Linked DNA regions of Saccharomyces cerevisiae S288C. The gene in region 1 interacts genetically with each later gene. Each region holds a gene or a part of one and is shown on either strand. Other genes may lie near its edges. The genes, in order: DPI35 and CMI7.

Region 1 (3,725 bases):
ATCATTGAAACTTTTTCTAGCAAGAGGAAAACTTTTGAAATTAAAGAAATAAAAACCAACGAATATGTCATTAAAACACCAGTCTTTACTACTGGTGGTGATTATATTCTATCTTTGGTTTCTATCAAGGATTCTACCGGCTGTGTAGTTGGACTCAGCCAACCAGATGCTAAAATACAGGTGAGGAGAGATATTCCATCTGCTGCATTCAATTTTTTTGAACCTATCAAAGAAGCTAAAATTAAGCACGGTTCTGTCACTGAAATTCCGCTCAAATTAAGTGGAGAGGGGCCATTCACCGTTAAGTTTAAACACATGGATTACGATGGAAACATTGTGAAAGAATTTGAAAACAAATTTCAGAATAGTTATAAGCCCGCTTTGAAAGTAAGTAAAGAAGGGCTTTACCAATTGGTCGATATTCGTGACTCAAGTTGCCAAGGTAATGTGATTTACCGGAACAGTCTGTATAAGGTATCTTTCTTGGAGAAGCCAAAATTTGCAATTCAAGACAATCATCACATTACAAAAGTAACGGAAAATTTATTCTCTAAAGAAGAAGTCTGTCAAGGGATGGAAGGTACGGTTGATTTGGCTCTATTTGGTTCTCCACCATTCATATTAGAATATGATTTGATGGCACCCAACGGTCATATTTCTACAAAAAAAATTCAGGTGGCAACCAAATACGCTTCACTGAAACTGCCTAATCAAATTCCTGGAGAGTACATAACTACTATTAAGGCCATCTTCGATGGCAATTATGGTGAAAGCGACATACATTTTAGAGAACATCAGTCGGAGCTCATAATCAAACAGACAGTGCACCCCATTCCAGACGTCGCCTTTGCTGATGGTGGTAAAACCTTGCGTGCATGTGCTGCTAATGTAGATCAAATCTCATTTTTGGAACCAATAAATTTGAAATTTTTACAAGGCGAAAGCCCATTTTCAATCACCTTTAGCGTTTATCACGAGAGTACCAGTAGGACAGATCAGTATACCATTGACAACATTGACTCAGAGAACTTTTCATTTGAAAAGTTATATGAAGGGATGAAGTTAGGTAACCATGCCATTACTATTGATTCTGTTGTTGACGCAAATGGTTGTGTTAACAGCCTCATATCTGGACCGCGTAATCAAATTCTTGTGTCAATTACTGATGCACCAAAGATACATATATTAGATCCTTCTACCGAGTATTGTGTTGGGGACTATGTTGCATATCAATTAAACGGTGTGGCACCTTTCATGATTAAGTATGAATTCAACGGTATTCCACTAAAATCTAAGGAACGCAGCTCCCAATTTGTTAGATTAGCATCTGAACCGGGCATTATATCTATCACTTCTTTACAGGATTCATCATCACAATGCATTGTCGACTTTACGAACCCTAAATTAAAGAGTGAATTTGATGACTTATCTTTAAACATACATCCTATTCCTTCCGTAACTGTTTCTCAAGGAAATTACGTTACTGAGGATATCCGCGAAGGTGACCAGGCTGAAGTAATCTTTTCGTTTGAAGGTACCCCACCATTCTCACTAACTTATGTAAGGACAGAAGAGACTGATGGAAAACACGGCAAAAGGAGGTCGCAGGTTGTTGAGACGCATAAAGTCACTGATATATATTCTCATGAATACAAGGTAATTACAAGCTTGCAAGGTACCTACGAGGCGATTGAAATTACAGATGCTTATTGTTTTGCCAAAAATGATCTTTTTTTCAATAACTAAATATTACAAGAAAGTCTGATGAAATTTTTCTTTCCCGCAATATTTTTGTACAATTGTAATGTATAATATATCTCTGTACATCAGTATTAAAATACTTAAGAAAGCGAAAAAGACGCCTGTATTGTTTGTTGTTCTTTTTCTTCAAAATTATCAAGACGCTCGATTCAATTATCTTCGCTCATAGTAACTCGAAAGAGTGTAGGTGAATGAATAGAAAAAGAGAGCGCTGAGACCTTTGTCCTTTACGGTCTATAGAGGTGTGTTAAAAGCAGACTTTTGAACATCCACAGAAATTGGCTCAATGACCTATCCGAAAAGAATACCTATAAATGCGTGGTCTGAAGTTCATAGGGTGGCAAGGCCACTAATTATTACTTTCGACGCATATAATACACTATACGCCACAAAACTTCCCGTCATGGAACAATACTGCATTGTTGGGCGTAAATATGGTATCAAGGCGAATCCTTCGACTTTAACAAACAATTTTCCACACGTTTTTAAAAAACTGAAGGAAGACTATCCCCAATACGGAAAATATTCTGGTATCAAGCCCGAACAATGGTGGTCCATCTTGATTAGGAACGTCTTCGCACCAAACGAAATTCCCGATGAGATGATAAATGAAATATTAATGCGGTTTGAGGGCTTCGATTCGTATTTTGTTTATCCAGATTTGATCAAATTTTTAAAGGATTTGAAGTCAAGACATCCTGATGTTATCTTAGGAATAGTAAGCAATACTGATCCAATTTTTTACAAATTATTAAAGAATATCGGATTATTTGAGACATTTTCCGGTCACATTTATTTATCATATGAGCTTAATCTCGCCAAACCTGATAGAGCAATATTTCAATATGCGCTTGACGATATTATATCTAAACAACCTCATTTACTCGAAAAGTACACCAGGGAGGAAATTCTACAGCATTGCTTTCACATCGGAGATGAATTAAAGAACGATCTCGAAGGGGCAGAAGCTGCCGGTTGGACTGGTATACTGTTAGATAGAAATGATAAATACGGGTTTCTTTCAAACTCGATTAGTAAACCAATGCGGGACGAATACAAGCTGTCAATTGATAAAATAGATAATAATTCAATAAACACTTGGGAAGCCAATACTAAGCAAACTGACACGTTACAGTTGAGTGAAAGAAAGTACGTTGTTTCGAATCTTGAGGTTTTAGAGGAACTCTTTCCCTGAGCGCCTAACGTTACAGTAACAAATATGTATGATAGATATTATTCATATCCGCCAGTAATATTTACTATATCTTTGAATGGGTTTGTTTATTAATAATCTACTATGTGTAAATATATGATCCAAGTATTATACAGTTTAGACACTGATTGTTTTCCAGACGTTCAAACCGTCAGTACCGGTACTTACTAAACAACCTGGGATTTGCTTATGCCATTTGACATCTTTAACTTCCTTTTGCCAGTGAACAAACAATAATTGTGGTGGAATTTCTTGTAGCTCTTTTGTTTCGGCGGCCTGTTGTTTAATTTCCTCATCGTCAGCTTCTACAGACAAATCCCACAAAGTCACAGTATTATCTTCTGAGCCTACCGCAACGATAGACTCATCTAATGGGTTGAATGCAATGGAAGTAATGGCTCCCTTATGGAAGTCATATTGAGCAACCGGTTGGACGGCGTCAGCATTACTTGGCGTAAACTGTCTTAAATCCCATACTCCCCATGTACCGTTATCGTCACCGCTTGCTAGCAAGTAACCAATTTTATCACTCCAACTTATGACATTTACGTCAGTATTAGAAGCTTTAACAGAGATAGCAGGTTTATGTTTTTTTGATCTTGTGTCCCAAATCCTTATATATCCATCACATCCTGCGGTTGCAAAAACGGTGGATTCAGTGCGAGACCACTGGATATCTTCTATGGATTTATTGTTTGAAACAGTAAATGGTTGTTTATCAGTCACCCATCTCGATGTGTGCCTTTGGGTA
Region 2 (3,050 bases), on another chromosome or scaffold:
TCCATCAGCCGGTCCGAATAACTGTGTTCTACCAGTATCACGTTGATAAGCGTTTCCCCCTGCAAATCTATATACACACGCTATAGTTAGTAAACGAAGTTCACTCGTGGTCAATAACTCCCAATATCGAGGTGTTATGGTAGATGTTTAACAAAAAGCGCTACTCTAACTTTAGAATAGTCTAATAATTTCTCATACCTTGAACTCATCTGTGTAGCCTAGTGTTGTGAGGCTCTTCAATCACATTTTCTAACACATTCACAGTCTCAAGTGAACTACTGTTTGTTTTCTACCATTCCTTGGCAAAAGGCGCGAGTTGAAAAAACTCCATTTTTAACAACTACTGGATACTTTCGCAATTTAAAATTAATGGAAGAAAGAGCCGTGAACGTTCCTACGTAGCTTGCAACAACGGTAGAGTAGTATCCGCCAATTAGCATGCATAAATTTCATCTGAGATAGTGCAACATTATAAAAAATCACTAATACTTTCCCTGATATGTCGCCCCTTCAAATTTTTTGCACGCCACATCGATAAGAGTGAAACATATCCCTGAACAGTAACCTAGAATGTACAGAAATAACTGGAAATACAATTACAAAGCGATAATTACGGGATCTTTGGTTCCTATCACAGAGTAAACACCATGGGTTTATTAGATATTATTTGGAAGAATCACATTAGACGGCTCATCGCGCAAGTAATAGCAAAATGGAAAGAAATCGGAAGGCTTCATTAGTCATGAACGTTTTACACCATCAAAATGAAAACTATACACATGCGTCGAGGAGCACCCAAAACTAATACGACTATTACAATTAAGCATGGAGGAACAGGAGATAGGCGTTCCTGCGGCCTCTTTGGCAGGAATAAAACATATCATATTGATCCTTTCCGGAAAAGGTGGTGTCGGTAAAAGTTCGGTAACGACACAGACTGCGCTGACTCTTTGCAGTATGGGCTTCAAAGTTGGAGTTTTAGATATTGATTTAACAGGGCCATCCTTACCGAGGATGTTTGGCCTAGAGAACGAATCTATATATCAAGGTCCTGAAGGTTGGCAACCTGTGAAAGTGGAGACAAACTCTACTGGCTCTCTTAGTGTAATATCATTGGGGTTTCTACTAGGTGATAGAGGGAACAGCGTGATATGGAGGGGTCCTAAGAAGACTTCTATGATAAAACAATTCATCTCTGACGTCGCCTGGGGTGAACTGGATTACTTACTGATCGATACCCCTCCGGGAACGTCGGATGAACATATATCGATTGCAGAGGAGCTGAGATATTCCAAACCAGATGGTGGTATTGTAGTAACTACCCCACAGAGTGTTGCAACAGCTGATGTCAAAAAAGAAATCAATTTCTGCAAGAAGGTCGATTTAAAGATCCTCGGTATAATTGAAAACATGTCAGGGTTTGTATGCCCGCATTGTGCTGAGTGTACAAATATCTTTTCCAGTGGGGGTGGTAAAAGATTATCGGAGCAATTTTCTGTCCCATACCTTGGTAACGTTCCTATAGATCCAAAATTTGTAGAAATGATTGAGAATCAAGTTTCAAGTAAAAAAACGCTTGTAGAAATGTACAGAGAATCATCTCTTTGTCCCATTTTTGAAGAAATAATGAAGAAACTGAGGAAACAAGACACTACAACCCCTGTTGTGGATAAACACGAGCAACCCCAGATAGAATCTCCAAAATAAGATCCTCTCCTATGCATGTACGTATATATATATATATGTGTGTGTGTGTGTTTATATACACTTATATTTTGATCCTTGGGCCTAGAAATAAATTTCGATTCCTATTTCGATTCCTATATCGAAAGGTGGTTAGAAGCTAACCGGCAACTGCAGCATGTTCTTCAAGTGGTGATACAAATTTAAAAGGCCGGGTAAATATTGACAAAGAAATAATATTTAATCACACAATTTTGAGAAAGAGCAACTGAATCAATTACTCTAGAGAAATCGCAGAACACTTCACTCGTCGTCAATAATATGACTCGTGATACACCCGAAGATGTCAGTACTGCAGGCGCAAAGGATATTTTAGATGTTTTGAACCTACTAAAAGGAGGAGAAGAGAAAATCTCGGAAGTCGAACTTAAGTTGGATGAAATGGAAAAGAAAATGGACTCTCTGTTAGTTCAGTTAGAAGATCTACACAGGGACAACAATGATTTGGCAAAAAGTTCCAGCCAAAAATAGAGAGTACGCTCACAGCCGCATAGGGAAGGAACGCTAAATAAATATATTTATATATAATCTTTTCACTAATGATCATTTACTTACCTTTCTATAAAAAGTGGCTCATCTTCGTTCTCAACGAATGGATTGGGATCTCTTTTAGGATTAATCATGTAAACGGCCGGGTCTACGTCAAGAACTACTTTAACTTGCTTCCCACTTCCAATCCACCATTTTTTTAAATCCGAACTAGGTGGTGGTAACTTTCTACCTCTTTTGGGCTCGGGAATTGGTGTCGGAGAATGCGTAGGGCCAGCTATCGAATCACTGCCCTCAAAACTTTCGATAACAAATGCATCATCACTCAAAACTGCAATTTTCTCATCATCATCCAATCCCTCTAGCCTTTCCATAATCTTCTCGTAGATTTGCGTACCCAAAGTAGTCTTTTTTTGTTCATCCACTACAGTCACTCTAGCCCTAAATATGGCATATACGGGCCGATGATCGGAAAATAGTATATCTTCACAGCATTTATATTCTAACTGTTCTAGTACTTCTCCCCTACTTAAAATCCTATCAGTCCATGCTGGTATTCTCATTTTTTCGCTCGTGTCGTAGTTTTTAGTTCCTGGGTCGAATTTATAGGTAGGTGGGAAATCAATCGCCATTTCATGGAAATATGGAAAAGACTCACCTGCGATCATTTGTTGATTAAGTTGATCCTTTTCAAATAGGCTGGCATATTCTTTAGAAACAATTTTTCGTCTAACATCTTCGTTTGACATCAATATTCTGTAATTGAAATCGCCCATCCAAATAATTGCATCGTGATCCTTTATTCGTAATCCTTTAGA

The links.
Region 2: mutations in DPI35 (region 1) and CMI7 together harm fitness less than expected from each alone (positive genetic interaction), as found in Saccharomyces cerevisiae (one large-scale study listed by BioGRID).

Annotation. Positions count from the first base shown.
Region 1 is NC_001145.3:530,072-533,796, forward strand, and holds DPI35 (Dpi35p), read left to right. Parts: upstream 1-2,047; coding exon 2,048-2,956; downstream 2,957-3,725. Other genes in the region: POM152 (Pom152p), read left to right, coding at 1-1,746; ribosome biosynthesis protein RRB1, read right to left, coding at 3,092-3,725.
Region 2 is NC_001141.2:348,297-351,346, forward strand, and holds CMI7 (Cmi7p), read left to right. Parts: upstream 1-2,004; coding exon 2,005-2,214; downstream 2,215-3,050. Other genes in the region: BET1 (Bet1p), read right to left, coding at 1-67, 199-209; iron-sulfur cluster assembly protein CFD1, read left to right, coding at 826-1,707; phosphoinositide 5-phosphatase INP51, read right to left, coding at 2,295-3,050.